Linked DNA regions of Neodiprion lecontei. The protein of the gene in region 1 interacts with the protein of each later gene in a biochemical or structural test. Links are inferred from orthologs where the notes say so. Each region holds a gene or a part of one and is shown on either strand. Other genes may lie near its edges. The genes, in order: polyubiquitin-A, putative pre-mRNA-splicing factor ATP-dependent RNA helicase PRP1, peroxiredoxin-2 and ubiquitin carboxyl-terminal hydrolase 47.

The links.
Region 2: the proteins of polyubiquitin-A (region 1) and putative pre-mRNA-splicing factor ATP-dependent RNA helicase PRP1 form a complex in vitro, tested with the Homo sapiens proteins (2 studies listed by BioGRID). The link is inferred for Neodiprion lecontei from reciprocal best matches to the Homo sapiens genes UBC and DHX15.
Region 3: the proteins of polyubiquitin-A (region 1) and peroxiredoxin-2 form a complex in vitro, tested with the Homo sapiens proteins (2 studies listed by BioGRID). The link is inferred for Neodiprion lecontei from reciprocal best matches to the Homo sapiens genes UBC and PRDX4.
Region 4: the proteins of polyubiquitin-A (region 1) and ubiquitin carboxyl-terminal hydrolase 47 form a complex in vitro, tested with the Homo sapiens proteins (2 studies listed by BioGRID, with this or other methods). The link is inferred for Neodiprion lecontei from reciprocal best matches to the Homo sapiens genes UBC and USP47.

What each region holds. Positions count from the first base shown.
Region 1 is NC_060262.1:18,755,708-18,760,742, forward strand, and holds polyubiquitin-A, read left to right. Parts: upstream 1-1,700; 5' UTR 1,701-1,856; intron 1,857-2,259; 5' UTR 2,260-2,265; coding exon 2,266-4,326; 3' UTR 4,327-4,503; downstream 4,504-5,035.
Region 2 is NC_060264.1:26,638,496-26,646,143, forward strand, and holds the start of putative pre-mRNA-splicing factor ATP-dependent RNA helicase PRP1, read left to right. Parts: upstream 1-1,605; 5' UTR 1,606-1,736; coding exon 1,737-1,786; intron 1,787-1,956; exon of another isoform or gene 1,957-2,086; intron 2,087-2,242; coding exon 2,243-2,592; intron 2,593-3,175; coding exon 3,176-3,870; intron 3,871-3,971; coding exon 3,972-4,202; intron 4,203-4,276; coding exon 4,277-4,496; intron 4,497-4,788; coding exon 4,789-4,911; intron 4,912-5,209; coding exon 5,210-5,400; intron 5,401-5,604; coding exon 5,605-5,767; intron 5,768-5,867; coding exon 5,868-5,995; 3' UTR 5,996-7,648.
Region 3 is NC_060260.1:4,635,744-4,639,972, forward strand, and holds peroxiredoxin-2, read left to right. Parts: upstream 1-1,914; 5' UTR 1,915-2,082; coding exon 2,083-2,248; intron 2,249-2,659; coding exon 2,660-2,777; intron 2,778-2,859; coding exon 2,860-3,099; exon of another isoform or gene 3,100-3,246; coding exon 3,247-3,412; intron 3,413-3,520; coding exon 3,521-3,574; 3' UTR 3,575-3,711; downstream 3,712-4,229. Other genes in the region: 39S ribosomal protein L32, mitochondrial, read right to left, coding at 33-287, 689-779; chromatin assembly factor 1 subunit B, read right to left, coding at 3,806-4,229. UniProt on the Homo sapiens protein: Thiol-specific peroxidase that catalyzes the reduction of hydrogen peroxide and organic hydroperoxides to water and alcohols, respectively.
Region 4 is NC_060261.1:10,713,464-10,718,490, reverse strand, and holds the start of ubiquitin carboxyl-terminal hydrolase 47, read left to right. Parts: upstream 1-2,023; 5' UTR 2,024-2,137; intron 2,138-2,314; exon of another isoform or gene 2,315-2,333; intron 2,334-2,411; exon of another isoform or gene 2,412-2,546; intron 2,547-2,725; 5' UTR 2,726-2,809; intron 2,810-3,225; 5' UTR 3,226-3,258; coding exon 3,259-3,276; intron 3,277-4,933; exon of another isoform or gene 4,934-5,027. Other genes in the region: E3 ubiquitin-protein ligase RFWD3, read right to left, coding at 158-394, 693-702. UniProt on the Homo sapiens protein: Ubiquitin-specific protease that specifically deubiquitinates monoubiquitinated DNA polymerase beta (POLB), stabilizing POLB thereby playing a role in base-excision repair (BER). Acts as a regulator of cell growth and genome integrity.

The DNA.
Region 1 (5,035 bases):
TCTTCGGTTCGATAACGTTGTTTTCGACATTCTGCATAAGTAAATATTATCAGGTTGTTGTAAACTTGTCAACAACTTGTAGCGCTACACATGAAAATCGTATGTAACACATGCACATCGAACACATGTACAGTTAGTACAGTCATTTCCCTATTCCGATGCGTATACAGTCACCCCCCACTCCACGTGGCTCTCGCTTTCGACACCAGCAGCGCGAGCTTTTAGCAATTAATTATTTCGCAGAAATTTTCCTCTACTCTCGCCCCTCGGCAGGGCCATATATCTAACGTCCGTTGTATTGCGATGGGTAATTAATGGGCGCTTTCATAGTAATTTCCGCTGACGCATGTATTGATTACGACACATGAATCACAATTTCAGTTTGACACAGAAATGAGATGACTTGAAAAAATTATTTCGAATGTAATATGTAGGTCCTTCTTATTAATGCGATAAAGAAAGATCGTAAATGATATGAAATGAATCCTAGTCGACTTTGTCGTATCTCGTGTTATCACCTACTGAACGTGTTTTGGGATTTCATGTATTCTAAAACTCTTCTGCCAAGAGTGATTAATTAAGGTAAATTTGTATTTTCAAAGCTTTTTGCGAAAAAAACATAGTGTCGTAATTTTTTTTACCTGCGTATGCATCAATTTACGACGTGAAACCTCGGGGAGAAATAGCACGCTTACAGTAGACTGGGAGAAAAGCTCTAGTTTACTAATAATAACCATGCGAATGTAAACATTTCCGCGAATGTCTATTGCTCGACATTGGTCAACAAGATTGTAGGTCAACATTATTTGCGTCGTTGCCATGGTCGTAACCAAGTTTATAACACGGAATAAATAATGTTATCTATTTTTTCGAAAAGATGCTCGATGTAAAAATGACTCATGGATTGCATCGAAATGAACATGAAAAAAGGTTCGCGGTCTATGACACACAACACAATTTACATCGACACCTCGAATGTTGCGTCAGTTTCGATAAAATGTGACCAACCAAAAAACTCTCATCGATGCGAGAAATTTTTAATTGGTTACTATTCAATGCTTGTCGAATTTCTAGACTACAAACTTTGTCAGCATTTTTGGGGAACAGCATTATTGAATGCATCCGAGATAATATAAAGATCTTGTAACATATGCACATTGTAAATTTATAGGTGCTGCTAAATGAACCGCTTTACAATGTGTTATCATCTAAATGTATTATACTGTTGTACGGTAAATTATGCGCTCGTTTCATCAAAAACGTCAACGTTTGCGTTGAAAAATGAAGAACATTCTTTTGTTCAAACAAATGAACAGCAGCTGATAGTTTATGTGTTTCGGACATTTTTAACGTAACTATCCTTGAGTTTGTGCCTTATGGTGCCATCTGGTCTCCAGCAACGAAAGACCAATATCAAGAAAATGTAAAAAGAGTTTCGGTTACTCCGCTTATACTTTGTGAAATTCGCAGTGGTCAAACAAATATTTTAATCATAAAAACGAGCACGTTCCAGATACCGCATCAATTTAATGGTAGATAAGGTATTTTTACTCACAGTGAGCAAAGAATATTCTAGAGATCGCTTTGTTCCACAAACCAATGAGATTCGTCGACGTTAGTTCAAGGTACGTGACGCAGCTGAATTTCAGCCAATAGGAACGTCCGCGCAGGTTCGTTCGCACCAATCACGCGTTTCTTCTCCATTGGCTCGGGTGTCTATAAATGCCAGATGCAGGGTGGCCCAGATATTTAGTTACGAAGCTGACGCCGAGTTTGTACGAGCAGTCTATTCGAAGTCATTAATAGTGCAGTTTTTGCGTTGCATTTAATCGCGTTATTAATAAGTTTCACAACAGGTAAATATCAAATATCCGTTCAATTCCTTCCCCGAGTTTTTCTTTGGTGTGGAAAACTGTACTGCCTCCTTTGTTCACGGCTTTGTTTCACAACCGTCCTTTGTCGACATGTCGCCATTAGTTTTCCATCATTGATCAGAATCTGCAGGTCTCAAACCTAACGGTACTACTTCAACTCGTCACTATTATTACTGCGTTTAGTATTTCTTCACGGATTAAACTGATTTCCAAGTTTTTCCTATCAGCTCTCGAAAGTTTTAGATTTAATCGATTTTCGCCCTCAATTCCGTTGTTGCGCTGTCCGCCATTTTGTGAAAACTGCCAAACTTATTGATCCACGCCATCCACCCAGCACTCATCAATCAGACGACACCGTTCTTACATCGTGTTTTCGTCGTTTCAGATAAACATGCAGATTTTTGTCAAGACCTTGACGGGGAAGACCATCACCCTCGAAGTTGAAGCATCTGATACGATCGAAAATGTGAAGGCCAAGATTCAGGACAAAGAGGGAATTCCACCAGACCAGCAGAGATTGATCTTTGCAGGAAAACAGCTCGAAGATGGCCGCACCCTTTCCGATTATAACATCCAAAAGGAATCCACCCTCCATCTAGTCCTTCGTCTTCGCGGAGGTATGCAGATCTTCGTGAAGACCTTAACTGGCAAAACCATCACCCTTGAAGTTGAGGCTTCTGACACGATTGAAAATGTGAAAGCAAAGATCCAGGACAAAGAGGGAATCCCACCAGACCAGCAGAGATTAATCTTTGCCGGAAAACAGCTCGAGGATGGCCGCACTCTTTCCGATTATAACATCCAGAAGGAATCTACTCTTCATCTGGTCCTTCGTCTCCGCGGAGGTATGCAGATCTTCGTCAAGACCTTAACTGGCAAAACTATTACCCTTGAAGTAGAGGCTTCGGACACAATTGAAAACGTGAAGGCGAAAATTCAAGACAAGGAGGGAATCCCACCAGACCAGCAGAGGTTGATCTTTGCCGGCAAACAGCTTGAGGATGGCCGTACGCTTTCTGATTACAACATCCAGAAAGAATCAACTCTTCATCTTGTCCTTCGTCTCCGCGGAGGTATGCAAATCTTTGTCAAGACCCTAACTGGCAAAACCATCACGTTGGAAGTCGAGGCCTCCGACACTATTGAAAATGTAAAGGCAAAGATTCAAGACAAAGAGGGAATTCCTCCAGATCAGCAGCGTTTGATTTTCGCCGGCAAGCAGCTTGAAGACGGACGTACTTTGTCGGACTACAATATTCAAAAAGAATCCACCTTACATTTAGTTCTTCGACTGAGAGGTGGAATGCAAATTTTCGTTAAGACTCTCACTGGCAAAACCATCACGTTGGAAGTTGAGGCCTCCGACACTATTGAAAATGTAAAGGCGAAAATTCAAGACAAGGAGGGAATTCCTCCAGACCAGCAGCGTTTGATCTTTGCTGGCAAGCAGCTTGAAGACGGACGGACCTTATCAGACTACAATATCCAGAAAGAATCTACTCTTCACTTGGTTCTCCGACTACGTGGTGGGATGCAAATTTTTGTCAAAACATTAACTGGAAAGACAATCACTTTGGAGGTTGAGGCTTCGGACACTATTGAGAATGTGAAGGCTAAAATTCAGGACAAAGAGGGAATTCCTCCAGACCAGCAGCGTTTGATCTTTGCTGGAAAACAACTCGAAGATGGCCGCACTCTTTCGGACTACAACATCCAAAAAGAATCCACCCTGCACCTTGTCCTTCGGCTGCGAGGAGGGATGCAAATTTTTGTGAAGACTCTTACTGGCAAAACCATTACCTTGGAAGTCGAGGCCTCCGACACAATTGAGAACGTAAAAGCAAAAATCCAAGACAAAGAAGGCATTCCACCAGACCAACAGCGACTCATCTTTGCTGGAAAGCAGCTTGAAGATGGACGAACCTTGTCTGACTACAACATTCAAAAGGAATCAACCTTACATCTGGTTTTAAGGCTGCGTGGAGGTATGCAAATTTTTGTCAAAACTCTTACTGGAAAGACAATTACTTTGGAAGTCGAGGCATCTGATACAATAGAGAACGTGAAAGCAAAAATTCAAGACAAGGAGGGAATCCCACCAGACCAGCAGAGATTAATTTTTGCTGGAAAACAGCTGGAAGATGGGCGTACTCTTTCCGACTATAATATTCAAAAGGAGTCCACCCTTCATCTAGTTCTCCGACTACGTGGCGGTATGCAGATCTTTGTCAAAACCTTGACCGGCAAAACTATCACCTTGGAGGTTGAGGCGTCTGACACAATTGAAAATGTCAAGGCCAAAATCCAAGACAAAGAAGGAATTCCTCCAGACCAGCAGAGGTTAATATTCGCAGGGAAACAGCTGGAAGATGGGCGTACCCTTTCAGACTACAACATTCAGAAGGAGTCTACTCTTCATCTGGTTCTTCGGCTCCGTGGTGGATCTCTCTAAAGTCAAGCTGGAAAATTCCAATATCTGATCTCGCTGATATGATCTAAATGAAAAATTGATAGTATTGATAGCGTTATTGAATTTTTTTTACTTTACCCAATAATAGTGCTTTCACCAAAATGTGATAATATTGATTTATGCTTCAGCATCTAATAAAGAATTCAGTTTAAAATGTGACTATTATGCATTCATTCCTTCCCTACTGAACTCTTAATACTTACTGTTGTTTTCATTTCAGTATTTGGTTTCCTTTTTTTTATTGTATATAAACTGATTTTTATTTTTCGCTTATTCAATAAACTGAGTAATACATCAAGTACAGGTCGTTTGATTTACATGGTATTATTATTTATTATTGATGAGCATCAAGTTGATGACATGAAGCTACTCATTTTTAGGATTAAGATTGTCATTTACTACTTTGATTGACTGACATATTCATTAATTAATTCAAATATACTCATACTTTGGAAACTCAACTCTTGAAAACTCAGTGGAGAAATTGCAAAATATAGATTTCCGTTGACTTTATATTATCTCTAATCAACGATATAGGTTTCGACGAATGCTCATAACTTCGATAACTGCAACATCGGGAATATTGATTAGGGATTTCGGTGCTATTTTATTCCAACATCGAATAACAATTAAAACATGGTGTCAAATTTTTAAGCTCCAAATTTTATTTTTATACGAACTCGATCGATTG
Region 2 (7,648 bases), on another chromosome or scaffold:
TTCGAATCCGTTGACGGGACGCTTAGCCCGTTGTTTATGCTTTATTTTATGTATCCCTATGGTCTCAACGGCCGGGTGAAAACACCACGTAAGCTACGCGCAACGCGATCAAAATATGTTTAGAGCTTTGCCGTAATATGCGACGTCAGGCGAAGTATGAATTCCCGGACCACTCATAACAGACATTTCTTGAACAAGATTTTGTCAAATTTTCAACTTCACTATGACGAAGGTATGTTACCAACGTTTTGCAGGCGATAGTGTAGGTTATGAGGCACTTCTTTCACCGGCGTGGTCAGTTGCTAATTGGTTGATAATACGGGAAACTGCTAATACTCTCAAACCGACCCGACCCGGCAAACTGTTACGCAAAATAACCACTGATATAGGTATTAATATATATCAGTGAAAATATCCCAGATTATCAGACTTTATACATTCTCAGTCGACGATACAAGTAAGGGGAAAATTCTGCGAAATACATTGCATTTAAGCCACGAAGCAGAATATGAGCAATGCTGTATGAGATAGTAATTAAGGTAGTTTGTGTACGCAATTTAAGTTCCAACCTGTGTGTAGGGGCAATGCACCTGTGCAGGATGCGAGATGTATGATATTGTATTGTTACTATTGCATGTAACTTAGAATAAAATGAATAATACCAAAATAAGTTTCATCATATTTTTCCGTATATTCTCAGCTTGTGTTGATCCTACGATGCTCCAATAAATACCTTTTTTGCATGCAGTCCTTGGGGTCCAATTAGTCCAGAAAGGGCTTTTGAACAGATTCTGATTGTAAGACGAAAATTTTCCGAGCTCTGAAAATCGCAAACAAGCAAGGCTATACCCTTTTGTATTTAGACGGTCGAAATTTGGCCTATTTTGAAAAATAGTTGCATGAATTCTTTGATGCACTATATCGACGTAATTTTGCGAGAGGAATAAATTGCGCGCAGTCAGAACACGCTATGAGCTACTTCATCTTGCTTCTTCATTTTCACCATTTTTTCACACTTGCAATTAGTAATCCTAGATTTCTTAAATCTGCGAATAGAAATGTTATTGAGGTCCGTTGACCTAATCACGTGGGTTTTGACGTGCGGCATTTTCAGGGGCAACTTTTCCTGCGACGTCGTAGTGCTATTCGCGTCAATTTGACACTCTGAAAATATAGCTTGACGCAGGCCTATGACGCCACAACTCTAGTTTAGGATGCGTTCCGAAATTAGCTGGCAGCGTTAACAAACTCCCTTTGACAGAGGCAAAGCCACCCACGAACTCAGCAGTGCAAAAGAGATAAAGGATCGTCGACAGCGCTGGGAGCTAGGAACGCACCCATAATGTAGCCTGTCGGCGTCAAGTACCTTAATTTTTTTGTTTACTTTTAAACATACTTTTCACCTATTGAATTATTAATAGCCAGTGTGTATATTGCACACACCACACACACACACGGGTATATATATATTTAATTTATATAGGTATATACCTACCAATTGGTGATACGGACAATTCGAATTAATTAGTTGGTCCACAGCCAGCTAGATCTAGGAGTATCGTCTTATCCGCGGACTTGCCGCAAAAACTGCCGAGAGATTTTTAATGATCAGTAAGGCACTGACTTCGGATGTCCGCTGGTTTTGCCATTTTGTGACGCTGCTTTGCGTGTACATACATAAATAATTTGTAAACAGTATACTCGTTTAAATTAGACATTTAAATAAAGATCACACGATGTCTAAGCGGAGGATTGAAGTGGTGGATCCATATATCAAACGAAAGAAGTAAGTAACTAGCACATCTATCACCTCGGTTAAACAACTGGAAGACTAAATCTTGCCATGTGCATTGTTAAAATTCCATCGCGATCCTTCTCATTACCAAAATCTAATTTTACATCTATTCACATATATACACATATTTTTGCCTCAACTTTTTCACCCATCATTCTGAATATTTTTAACTGTATTCCACGATATCTTTAGTTCCATTCGAACTTCTATATTAGCAAGTAATGTTTTATATACATACAGTACATACATACCTGTAAGAACTACAGCAAAGGTGCTCAACTTGGATTTGATGTAATTTATTTAAAACTATGTATGCTTATTATTCACAATAAATTCACTCATTGTTCATCTTGATGCTTTACTGGTAACTCCTAACCTTAAATTGTTTCAGTTATAAAACAACGTGACAGTGATTGTTAAAATAAATGTTGTCTTACTTCTTAACAGAGATGGAACAGTCGCCAATAACATGCCAACTTCAACGGCGGCCAAAAATCAAGTTCAGCATAACCCATATACCGGTCTTCCATATACGCCACGTTATCATGAATTTTATAAGAAGAGAATAACTCTTCCAGTATTCGAGTATAGAACAGACTTCATGAGGCTCTTAGCGCTGCATCAATGCATTGTCTTAGTTGGTGAAACTGGATCTGGTAAAACTACTCAGATACCGCAATGGTGTGTCGAATACTCAAGATCTATGGGTCCGAAAGCTGTGGCTTGTACTCAGCCGAGAAGAGTAGCTGCCATGTCAGTTGCCCAGAGGGTGTCAGAAGAAATGGATGTCGCTTTGGGTACACAGATTAAAATTAATATGATTATTATTGATGAAATCAGTCACACAACATATTTTTATGCGTCGAATTATGCCTCATTATTGCAATCGAATCACAAAATTTAATAATAATTCAAGGACTATCATACAAATATTCACGCAATTGTTTCTAATATGGCCAAGTTGATGTTAAAGATAATACCGTGCTTCTTGGTAAAAGTGAAAGGTTATTTTTTCATAGGACTAGATAAACATGCGAAAAAGTACCATCGTGTCCTTCTTGACAATTTTATTCAATATCGCAACAAGTGTTATTAAAGCATGAAATACATGCCTGTATATGGCCCCATGGACTAAGGGAAGGCTTAAACAAAGTCAACATCAATCCATAATTTTCAATACACTTAGAAGATCACTTTTAGAGCATTATCTCAGTTCTGTCCTGATCCAAAATTGTAGTACCCTTTTCCATAAGAGCCAAATTTTCCGGGCCAGACAAATAGTACCGGGGCTGCAAAATGAAAAAGTGAAATGGGCAAAATTTATAAATTGAATCATCGAGTGCTATACTTTATTCAAATAATTTCGTTACCTTTTTGCAGGTCAAGAGGTAGGCTACAGCATCCGTTTTGAGGACTGCAGCTCTGCAAATACTGTGCTTAAGTACATGACGGATGGTATGCTGCTTCGAGAAGGGATGTCTGACCCCATGCTCGAAGCGTATCAAGTAATCTTATTAGATGAGGCTCATGAAAGAACACTGGCGACAGATTTATTGATGGGAGTTTTAAAAGAAGTTGTGAAACAGCGTCCAGATCTGAAACTGGTTATAATGAGTGCGACTCTAGACGCAGGAAAATTTCAACAGTACTTTGATAATGCACCATTGATGAACGTTCCTGGTCGAACGCATCCTGTAGAGATATTTTACACACCAGAACCAGAAAGGGATTATTTGGAGGCTGCAATTAGAACAGTAATACAGATTCACATGTGCGAAGAAGTGGCTGGCGACCTTCTCTTATTTTTGACTGGACAGGAGGAGATCGAGGAAGCTTGTAAGAGAATCAAGAGAGAAATGGACAATCTAGGACCTGAAGTTGGAGAGCTGAAATGCATCCCTTTATATTCTACACTTCCACCGAATCTTCAGCAAAGAATATTCGAACCCGCTCCACCTACTAAACCCAACGGAGCTATTGGAAGAAAAGTTGTAGTGTCCACAAATATTGCAGAAACTTCATTGACCATTGATGGTGTTGTTTTTGTCATTGATCCAGGGTTTGCGAAGCAAAAGGTAGTTATTTCGTCACCCACAGAAATTACAATGTTGATATGTATTGAAAAATGACAAGCTAAATCCGAATATTCTAACGAAAATGGTATCACTTACCACAGGTCTATAATCCGAGAATTCGCGTAGAATCTTTGTTGGTATCGCCAATCAGTAAAGCATCTGCGCAACAGCGAGCTGGTAGAGCAGGTCGAACTCGTCCAGGGAAATGTTTTCGGCTTTATACAGAAAGAGCATACAAAAATGAGATGCAGGACAACACGTATCCAGAAATTCTTCGTTCAAATCTCGGCAGTGTTGTTTTGCAATTGAAAAAGCTTGGAATTGATGATCTGGTAAGTAGTGCGATTCTTTTACTGTTAATAAAATGAAATGAACAATTATTTGAATCAAAATTTGAATTTTACAGGTTCATTTTGACTTCATGGATCCTCCAGCGCCTGAAACACTTATGAGAGCACTGGAGCTGCTCAACTACTTGGCGGCGCTTGATGACGACGGAAATTTAACAGACCTAGGTGCAGTTATGGCTGAATTTCCGCTCGACCCTCAGCTGGCAAAAATGTTAATAGCTTCATGTAACCATAACTGCAGTAATGAAATACTCAGCATCACCGCGATGCTTTCAGGTACTGTATTGGGGTTTGTTGATTCCATTTTAATTTTAGATTCACATAATTTTCTAACATCTCTCTTATTTAGCTTAACGTCAGCTCCAAAGTTCAGAAAATAAGAAATTCCCCATAGTCGAGGATGTTGTTCAGACATTTTCATGTGTCTTCCTTATTTAAAGCGCTAAATCAGTTATAGTCTATAGTAAGAAAATATAAAATGTATTGAAAGCTGGCAATTTACAGTAGATTCAAGTTAGGATGGTGGTGAGGTAACATGGTTATGTATTGACAATTGACATGGTATTAGTCCCACAGTGTTTTGTGAGACCAAACGAGGCTAAGAAAGCTGCAGATGACTCAAAAATGCGGTTCGCGCATATCGATGGCGATCATCTGACTCTTCTTAATGTATATCATGCCTTTAAACAGAGTAAGTAAAAAAATTAATGTCATTTACGAGGACAAGTGTGCTACAGTACAATATTCAACAATTCTAAAATCAATTGCAGCCTTTTCTCATAGTGTAAATCTATGACGTGATTGAGTGTTTAAAGCTTTTGTTACTAATTGAATGACTTTTCAAAATTGATGATTCATTCCTCATCTCTGTGTTTGTGTAATTTCTTGGCACTCGCATAAAATATGGCTGTGATTTTTCAATTATGGTTTTTCTGAAACATAAAAAATTTGAACTATGAGTGTTAACACAGAAATTTAATAATTTTCAGATATGGAAGATCCGCAATGGTGTTATGAGCATTTTGTGAACTATCGATCACTTAAGAGTGGAGATAACGTTAGACAGCAATTAAGTAGGATCATGGACAGGTTCAGTTTAAAACGTACGTCAACCGATTTCACGTCCAAAGACTATTACATAAACATCAGAAAAGCATTGGTCAACGGATTCTTCATGCAGGTAAGAAATCGAAAACATTTGTAAGAGTATTACTCTACTTGTGTTGATGCGTCTCTTTTTAATATATGAATGAAAAATTGTTCAGACAAGAAGCTTGATTCTAGCTTCCCACTGATTTGGTCTTATGAGAGTAAATCACTTTTAAGCGGAAAATGACAAAGATTAATGAATAATAATGAATTGTGATCTTTTTTTTTATACCAGGTTGCACATTTAGAAAGGACGGGACACTATCTTACAATAAAAGACAATCAGGTTGTGCAATTACATCCGAGCAGTTGCCTTGACCATAAACCTGAGTGGGTAATCTACAACGAATTCGTGCTTACGACAAAAAATTACATCAGGACAGTAACAGACATAAAACGTGAGTACCATTGTAAAAAACTTTCTTTTTTTTTTCTTCAATGAAATAGAAAAAAACCGAAACACCGAATATTCTAACAATGTATGCATATTCATTTCAGCCGATTGGTTACTTAAAATCGCACCCCAATACTACGATTTGCAGAACTTCCCTCAATGCGAAGCTAAAAGACAGCTTGAAGGTATTCAAACGCGACTAGATTCGAAACAGTATCAAGAAGGCTTCTAACGTTGTTCGCTTTTAGCCACGTTACCAATCACTAACAACGGCTGTGACCAGCCCAGTCCTTCGAGCATGTAAACTCTTTTTTTTTATTCATTAAAAAAAAACCGAAATAGAGGTAAAGCAATTTTTCAAACGATCTTAGGCCAAGTTCATCTCCTGTTACAACATAAACGTTATTCTCATAATTGGCAATGATATTCATGCTGAAGGACTTATAAACTCGATGTTTATCCTATTGCTCAGGATAAATCGTCAGGATACTTAAATCCATCAACCGCTGGATGTTACATCCAACCCTAAGTACCAGTGGGCTTAATTTATACAATTTCAAAAAAGCGTAGCTGTTTGATAGTTTTAAAAGGAAAATACAATTACAAACAGAAGAGAAATTGTTGATAGGGTCGTTCATAATGTATGTAGCCAAAGTTGATATACCTTACCGACACACACCACTGCACTATAAATAATAACTTACTATCTATCAGTTCGGATATTTAACGAAACAAATGTTATTGTTAGTTACTTTTCTTGTCACTATCCCCTTTGAAACGCAAAATCAAGTTGTCGACTGTACCCAAAAAGTGAGTACGTGATCACATCGACCAATTTTGTGATCCATTTATTATAGGATACCTCACCACCCTTTGTGTATACTGTTTTATACCTACCCAAATTGAAGTAACGAATAAATTTTATTGAATTACTATTTAGCTCACTATTCCACTTGAAAAATTGCTACACGTTGGTGACTGTTCGTCATAACACATTTATAATAATAATGGCTGTGGTCTGTATTGAAGTTTCCGTTGTTTCGCTCTGTATTACTGACAGAAGCACAGGAAAATTTTCAGAGAACAAAAAAATTAATAAAACACAAGGAACGGAAATATTGTGTCAAGTTATTCGTTCAATGTTGATTAATGATTGTTGATGTAATAGAGATTTCATTTCTTAAAAATAAGTTAAAAACTACTTTGAAATTTGGAAAAAAAAAACTAACACCAGGAGTGCAGACTGTTTTTTCGTTGAAACGTGACTTCACGTTAGGATAGAAAAAGCTTTAGCTGACACAGTTTAGCGCGTATGTGTATAATTGATCATAATGAGTTACTTTTCAATTCAATTACTTACCTATGTACATCAACGTATATTACCGTAATACCACGAGTCTACACCCCGTTCGAATTTGTATAAGTAATTATTTTAACCGCTTGGGAACGGTGATTAGAGTTTATTGAGTATTTTCAATGCACTCGTACACCTTTCCATGGATAGGGTACATTCGCATTGTTAAGATCGATATTTTCTCTTTTACGCAATAAAAAAAAAAAAGAAACTACTAACCACCATGAGTTGAAAAAATACATTATTACGGTAATGTAACTAATGATGTTTTACGTGTTTGACGCCAGATGATGGGTCGCTTTTTTCAAATTTTGTACATATAATAGCGTTTCATTATGCTGTATCACTTCATTCCAATAAAACGAAGTATACCTGTAACATTTATGCATTTTTATCATTCTTATTTCAATTTCATGGTTTTTACTTGTGCACGTTTTAATGATGTTCAACTAAGTCGTGCTCAAAGGATGATGAGGTTTTAAAACTCGTCAGCAAATAGTAATTAACAATTTGTTTATTTAATTATTATAT
Region 3 (4,229 bases), on another chromosome or scaffold:
GATTTCTCAGGGGAATATATCATCTTACTCACTGCAAAGAATACCAGCTTCGTGATCGTGTCCACATGTGTGACAAGTCAAAATGTTTGTTTTCGGTGACAACAATTTCGAAATATACTTAGGGTTTCCAAAGCGTCGTTTCCATCTTTTTTCAATTGTTCGCTTATGTGTGGGAACACCCCACAGAAAACCATTATCAATAATATTCTCTATGGAAAATGGACTTCTTCGAGGGATCGGCTGCGGCCAATTTTGCCCCTCATTCAATTCGACGACACATAACGCTTCTGAAATTATTAATGATCTATTGGTACAGACAATACAATCGACTCCGAGCTATTTTGAATTATGATAGTCAGACCTCCATGCACACCAAAATCATACATAATCTGTTATTTACAAATTGACTGATTATACTTTTCATGGAGTGAAACCCATGACAATCATCTCGGACATGTAGCCAACAAACGCACGTCACTAACAGCTTATTTATTTACAGGCATTCATTCATTCGGATATTTTGTCCGAGATTTTGTCACCGGCTGAACGCTCCGATATAGTTTCACGTGAAATAGAGCTTCCAGGTTAAGACGGGCAAAAAGTGAGGTTGGAATATCGGTATTTTCATTGTTAGGCCTCGACACGACCCTCCTAACTTTGAGAAAAAGGATAATAGTAACTTCCGTACCTGGAGGAAATCTCCGACTCAGAATATTCACAATTATGTTATCAAATCTCTGTAAAGCAATCTGAACGCGATTTACCAGGCCGGACGCCATGTTTCTAGTCGCAAGTATTACTTCGTGATTCCGATATTCGATACTCGACACGAACAAAACAACCCAGATCGATCAGCTGGACTCGATATTCGAGCTATTATATTTTCGCGTCAAATGTGAGATCATAAACGAATAACGATTGTTATATTGAAAATACGCACGACACTTTGAGCTCTGGAATGAATCGCATAATACGTTAGAAGTTACTTATGACCCAATGGAGGCGACGATTAATCACAAACGATTTTTTCCTACCCGTCGTTAATGCAGCGGATCAAAAAACCAGCAATAACCTAACCGCGTTATAATGAGTGGCGTTTTGCAGGAGACTTGGACAATATTATTCTGCGTCGGAATCGTCGTATTGAACATGTACTACCACGTTTATTATTCAGATCCCAGTTTATTCGGAAATGCTTTGTACGTTCCGCATACTGCCGCGCTCACGGCGTCCGCAGGGATCGTCCTCAATGACAATGCAAGTAAATATAACGATGTTTCGATTGGAACACATTGATTTTTGATATTCTGCAGACCTTGCTCGACAGCCTGAAATAGGAACCACGAGACAAGAATATATACATGCAGTGTATTTTTAATAACAAAGACATGAGTAATGAGGGGAAAACTAATTGTGAAGATTTTCATGGATTTCCACACCTCAAAATGAACCCTAAACAATCTCGCACGTGATTAGTTGACGATCTAAGACGGCCTTATGTTCCAGGCACGCGATTGGTTCTTAGAGATGCCTGAGCAAGAGCATTACTCGTGTCAGGAACGCACCCTAATCATGTTGTATCGTGAATCCACATAAGAGAAATGCATGCGCGCGATTTCAGTATAATCGCGTACCAAATTCAAATATAGGAAGTATTTCAAAATCTAATAACGAACATTCTTGTGACGCTGAAAGCCGCAGTTTGAATTACACAGAATTGGATAGATCAATTTGTTACAGTAATCCTCAGATAACTTGGGAGTAACGGGTATTATCGATACTGAACTGTTGTCATTATTCAGTGACCACCAATCGGGTTTCTCCCTTCGTCGTGCGTAGGATGCATGCTTCCAATCTTCAATGCGTCACATGGAAAGCGGGCTTACGACTTTGGATTCGCGTATTCCTTTTTTGTTGATTCGTAGGTCAAGCGCGAAGCGGCGGACGGCGACGCCGGGGCGCTGTTTTTTTTCGAAGCGGGTTTTAAGAAACAAGTAAGATTAAAAAAGTGGGCGTATAGATTAGAACGAGAGAATAAAGTGGAGCGTTGTAACAAGTGCGTACGTGCAGAATCGTTCGAAGATGCGGCTACTGATTATTCTCGTTACAATCGCATTTTCGTGCTTTGTTACGAAAAGTGAGGGCTTATTCGGTGAGGATGAAGCGTGTTACTCGTTCGCTGGTGGCACCGTATATCCAACCGGTACCAAACACGCGGGTCACCAGTTGCAGACAACTCAAGCAGTCAGTGAGTTGAGCGAAATATTTTTATTTGTTGGGGCCGAAAATTCATTAGCGAATTTATCTTCATGTCTTTCCTAAAACTGGCGAGAATAATGCGATGAGAAATCAAGGAAATGTCACGACATTGAATACTTGATAGTTATTGATATCAGCAAAAAAGTACAGTTATCTTCTTTACGAGAATTCAATCTCGTTTTCCTCAATTCATCTCAATATGGGACTTTTGAATACCAACCATTTGAAATTGTAATTTATTACACCTTATTGACAATATTAACAGCAGGTGTATTAAATTCGTATCATCATCTTATCTAATCTCTGATTAGGTGGTGGGATTAGCACTGATTCCAATACATATTGACCTGTTTCTTGTAAAAAAAAAATCTAAATTAACCATGCGTACCGTTTGTTTCAGTTGGAAAACAAGCACCGTTCTGGGAAGGTACGGCTGTTCTTGGAGGCGAATTTAAAGAAATTAAGCTCACGGATTACAAGGGAAAATATTTAGTATTTTTTTTTTATCCGTTGGATTTGTAAGTTCACAGTCTCTGGAATGGGAATGAAATTTTTTTTTTTAAATTTACCGACATTTATTTAGATTTTCTGAATTTTCAGCACCTTTGTTTGCCCCACGGAAATTCTTGCTTTTTCGGATCGATTAAATGAATTTAAGAAATTGAACACTGAGGTCATTGCTGCATCTGTTGACTCACAGTTCACTCACCTCGCCTGGATAAACACGCCTAGAAAGGAAGGAGGTCTTGAAAATATTAAAATTCCCTTGCTTTCCGATCTCACTCATAAGATATCAAAGGATTATGGAGTTTACTTGGAAGATCTTGGACATACTTTGAGGTAACGTGATCACACATTTGAGGCTTTACTTCGCAACCTGTAAAGGTAGTTTGACTTATTTATTTATTTTTTTTTCATGTTTGTTTTTATGTTTCATATAAAAATGCAAATGACGTATCGCCAAATATTTTTTCATTCTATTTACAGAGCTCTTTTCATCATCGATGGTAAAGGAGTACTGCGCCAAATTACAATGAATGATCTCCCTGTCGGACGATCAGTCGATGAAACTTTGAGGCTCGTACAAGCATTCCAATATACAGATGAACACGGTGAAGTTTGCCCGGCTGGCTGGAAACCAGGACAAGACACGGTAAGTATCAGAATATTGAGGCAATTTGGTACCTGCAGTACTGTATTTGTTAATTTTTACACACGTAAGTAACGACTCTTATTAACGAACATGATTTTTGTATTTCAGATCATTCCGAATCCGGTGGATAAGAAGAAATTCTTTGCGAAAAATCTCAACTGATTAATTATCATGCTGATTATATTGCATATTTTTTCATAATTTCAAGAAATAAAAAAATCTACCCTTGATTAACTACATTTGTAACAACGAAATCTTTTACTTGCTCAAAATTAGCATAATAAACTATTTGGATTGAAGTTTTTTAATGACGTACTGAAGATTCACGACACTGTCGTTGATTGGATGTTGTTCTTGAAAGATACGTGTGTATATATTACCTAAATTTAACGGTCAATTCTTCTTCCCACTTCTCGGACTGGAGAGTGTGATAAGCTGTACCCTACGCGGAGTTTTAGCTGCTATCACATTAGGAACTATTGGTTTTGGAGGTGTTTTTTTAACAATGTCACTTATATTTTCTGTGTTACTTTCTTCTGTGTAAACAAGTTTTATATCTTCCGTCTCTTCAAGAACTACGTCATCAACATCTGTCGACTTTGTATTTTGGACGTTTTTCACAAGTTTATCATCTTTATTACCATTATTCGCCTCTTCGCTAAAGTCAGATGCTTTCACAGGTTTCGTAATGTCAATATCCATTGCGTCACTGCACATATCAATAATGAATTCAGTCTTCTCGGCATTATTAGTCTTACGCTTTGATTTGGATGAATTTGAATGCACAGATTTCGTTTCTGTCGTGTCATTTATGTTT
Region 4 (5,027 bases), on another chromosome or scaffold:
ATCCGAAACATCAAATAGGGGCTATAATTATCTGGACCTTGAATCAATGTCAAATATTTCATATGACTTTGAGATGTCAAAGGAAACATGACTTGATACTATGATGAAACAATATGTAAGTGCTTACTGCACCTTTGAATATTACTAAATAACTCACCAATTTCGAGAAGCTCTTCGTTATTGTTGTTTGCTTGTGGTTTTTGGAAAATTGGTACATTCTCTTCCCCTTGTACAGATCGAAAGGTTATTGGTTCACTATGCTCAATAACCTGAGCTTCTTGGTCTGTCTCTGGTTCTGATATGTGTACCACTTCCCGTATAGGAGTGTTGACACGATTATCAGGAGCCAGGATTACTGGCTCATCTGCTTCTTGAACCTCCATCTCTTCTTCATCTAACATAATCAATATTCAATTAATAATAAGAATTGGATTATAAGTGTACATCAAGCTCGATGTTGAATGATAGCTGCGTGCAAGTGTTTCCTCAAAATCTTTGCCATTTTTTGATCAACTGTGTCTGTGAATAGTAATTTAATCGATGGTTAATCGTTTGCTGACAAGACAGGGTGAAACAAATTAAAGCATATAAATGAGGCAGAAAACAGTATCAGATGTGGGGTAAACGGTTAACGGTAAATTTAAAGGGCTTATTCCTTGGAAACGGAAAGAGAAAGATAAAAATCAACTCACTGTTTTCCATTTTTAACGAAGTCGGACAGGTTATACATTTAGAAGAAGAGATGAAGGTGCAATGCGGGATTAGCAATGGTTGAAACTTGAAATTAACAACAAAAAAGCGGTGATCATAGTAGGTAATTGGAAAAATATCACGTTTATACTTTTTTACCGAACCATCGATGTTGCCAAAGGACTTATGACTTGGTTTCACTCCTTTGGAGTGCTCACTTATTTACGCTCCGTTCTGTTAGGGTCGGTGTCCTAGTGAGAACAAACGGGAAATCGGAAATCTTCTCAATCTGCTTAATCTCATCGGTAAACAGTCAACGCGTCTTTCAACATCAATCGGTATTTGGCTAACAGCCTGTGTTAATTAAATATCCTTGAGTGTCAGCAACCGATGGCGGTTAATGGCGGTCGAATCTGCCTCCAATAATTGTAGGTAGAGTATCGCGATGACCCACGTTGATTGGCCACTCATTGAATCTACTTCGAATATTGGCGCTAATTTTTGACAACCTTAAATTTTAGGACTTTCAGAATTTTACAGTTTGCATCTTGCAACTTTTAATCAATAATATTCTTTTTCACAACTTTACACTTTGTTCGAACGTTGTAAGGGAAAACTTGCGGGATATGAATAATCGTTAGAAGATCGTCTCGTTAGAATGTTACAACACCAGAATGCAGGGTTCTTTCCCTTTTTATTGAGTTGTACGCTCGCAACTATGCTGCAAAGAAGTGTTTTTACATAAACTTTGCATCGCTTGCAAATATATTCTTAAGTCAACACCATGATCCTTGCTATTTTTAATTTTCTTCTATAAATGTACGCTTTGCATGGCTTTCGACTTTTTCCTATCGAGCTCTCTGGGAATCGTATGTTTTGCGAAGTCATAATAAGCCACAATTGATTGTAATAAAATATAGTTGGTAAATTATTTGTGAACAGAACGAACTTTTGAATTACCCAAGGCTGGCTCATTTGTGCTTAGACGATTACTGAAAACTGGGTTTTGTGTCTTTCGGGATTGCGTGCTAAATGGCTCTCGCCGATGAAAAAGCTACCGTATCACCAACACGGTTTCTTATGGCCCCGGGCCTACCCAGGGCCCACTGAGACCCACTTACCCGCGGACTGGTTACGCAAAGTTATTTGTCACATGGATTCTTTGGAAATTCTGCGATTTTGCAATATCTGCGAATCATTTAAGAGGTTCCCGCAATGCATTTTTAACAAATTCAAAGATCGCCGGCTAACTTCACATAGTATCTTGCCGAACTTCAAAAAGCGTGACTCTAAGCGGTTATCTCAACAATTTGTAGTCAATGCTTGTTCCGTGGTAGCTTGATCCAAGCTAGGTCCACGGACTTGCTAGGCCATGAAAAGAAAAAATTAAATTAAAAAAAAAGAAATATGGCGTAACGTGATTGCTACACATGTGTCAGTGAATTCGGTAAGTGATTTTTTGACGATAGTTTATACTCGGTGCAAGCGTAAAAACGTATTCCTCGCAATAGGACTCACTGCGCAATTATTTTTACCGAGTATAAAGATTTTCTCATTTTAAATAGTTACATAACTTCACGGTAAAATCATGTTCAGGACGCATATTTCTGACGTCGGTTGTTCAGCCATTTGAGAGAAACTTTGTAATAAACATTTTCTCGTTACTCTATTACCTCCTTTTCTTTTTTCTCAAATTCTTTTCATTTCATTTTCAAACTCACCTTGCTGTACGAATACGTAATCTTTTTTTCACAACATCTGCCTAATTACGTAAGACTAGTTATACGGAATTTGATTTGAAGGAATATAAATACCGGCGTCTTCACAACGTCGAATCTACTTTTGCTCACTTGTTCTACTGGCACGCAATCTCCCCGATCTTACGCCTTCAGATTTCCTTCATTATTTTTAATATTTATTTATTCACTTAACGTAAAAATAAATTAGCAGCCCCTACTTGCCAACTACCATGACGTATATATCTACATACATTCGACGTAACCTTGTTGGTTTTTTCTTTTTTCTCTTCCTACAGATCTCAAGCAGCTTCAGCGCATTACCAAAGGTTGAAATCGATTCAAATATTTTCACTATCACCAAGAGAGAAAGGAAAGACTAGGTGAGATTTGCCTTCTTTGAAACCTTTTCAGTAAAACTAAGCACTGTAAAGCATGTTCACTCTCCTCCATAACCTGTTAACAATGTGACGAGATTCTTTTGTTGCCGTCGATCGAGACAGGAGATTCGAATAGCCATCGAAAGGTATCCAATTGCGATGATTGTCCCTAGATTTCAGAGTTGAGTGTTGGAAGTAAGAGACCTAGAAATTTTGCTTTTTCATAATCATTTAATGTCCTGTGCATTTATTTGATGGTTACTATTTGGCTATTTATTTGGTGGTATGTAATTCAAGATTAGATTTTTGAGTGATTAAACATTGAAGTATGTATTTTTGTACTTGTTTTCTATATTTCGTTTGCTTGTTATCACCTATTTTTGTGTACCTAATGATTCAATAGTACGAATTTATTGTAGATACCTATATGACGTATTTATTACATCACAAGGATGACCGTGGATTTTGATGTAAGTAGTAATTAACTACGGGATATTTGAAAATCTTGTCACATCGTCCATACTTATTTACATGTCGTAAAAGAAAAAGAAATGAAAATTTCATTTACACTATTGACCAGTTGCTCAAGACTTCCACTAAATCCACTGAAATTCAGTTTAAGAGAAAATATAACCACTTGATACTGTTTTTCAAACATTATTTACATAAATTTAGATTTCAACAAGCTTCTACAGATGATTTCGCATTACAAAATTGAGAAAGCAGATATTATTTCCTGTTTTTATACTGAGAAAAGAGTCAAGAAAACATTATTAACAAAAACGTATATTAAGAGGGTTTGAAAACCTTGAAAACAGAAATTTATCAAGTAATTTTACAATTTGTGCAAAATTTTTTTATGTAACAGGAGGATTTAATTTTTGTGACGGAGTGTTGGCAAAGTCTGGAAATCGGTGCCTTGAGTTTTGTGGCCATCCTTGTAGCGTATCTGCATGAAAATAGTTATATGCTTATGCCTCTGTTACACTTTTTCTACGACAATGTAGCAATTTAACTATTCTAAAATGCTAGTACTTGATTTTTCAGTTTCTATGTCATCACTTGTTGTTAGGAAAACTTACGGCGAAATGAACTAATCTCCCTTCAGCAAATTATAGTACGGGTCTCTTATTCAGAGTACTTTACTAGAAAGAAAAGTTAACAGTTTAGAAAAGTTGCTTGTTTATAAAACACTTCCATCAGAAGTTTGAATATGCAAAGGAATGAGATAATTTCAATGAATCAATACAGATATGTAAGATATGAATTTTCAAAATATTGAAATTCGATCTTATCAAAACTCTTCGGTATTTTATCTATCACTAACCGACGTACATTATCAGATTCTCATGTTTACAGTAAGTGTATTCAGATAATGCCGATAATCAGTTAATCCATGAATTTGAGCCCAACCGGCTCAATGATTTTCAAGATATCGAATTCCGAGTTCGGAAATGCAGATCCGACTCCACTAGTAGCAGACATAGTTTATTAAATTGATTTTCACTGTAGTATTTTTCACAATTTGACCATCCTTGTAATTAATCAGTAATGTGTCTGTGTTCATCGGTTGTGATTTTGAACCTATAGCATATGAAGAAAAAAAACAGATTTCACTGTATCCAGGGCTGATAACTTCTGTAACAGAATTTCGCACCATCCTGTTGTCTTTAAAAAAATTGCAAATATCAGGTACTGACATGCATGCACAGGTTTTATTCTTCTTCATTTCCACCGATAATATTCCTTTTCCATCCGATTTATTGATTTTAATGAAAATATTTGATGCAAAATGAACAAAGACTCGTCACAGGTTTTGCGAATCAGTTTGCCCTCATATTCCCAGATAATTATCTCGTCAATATGTATGTACAGAAATATATATATTAGCCGAGATAAATATACATAGTGCGGAAAGTTTGGGGTGACGATGAGGACGATTACACAACTCGAAAAACAACTATCCAACAACAGTGTAAGAGAGGCTTAGGTATTAGTGTGCTTGTGAAGGCGAGTAAAAGCAATGCGCAGTGTAAATATGTGAAGGGGAGGTGGTACTGATCTCAGAGAAGAGAGCCATTTTCAAACTCTTGGTTTAGATCAGCTAAATATAGCTGCAGGGTGTATAGGCTCCTGTAGTCTACCTTGCTCTGCAGAGCAGCGATATCCCACTCCATCACACAGATCTCGCTGATTTTCTACCTTCACCATGGCGAGCTGC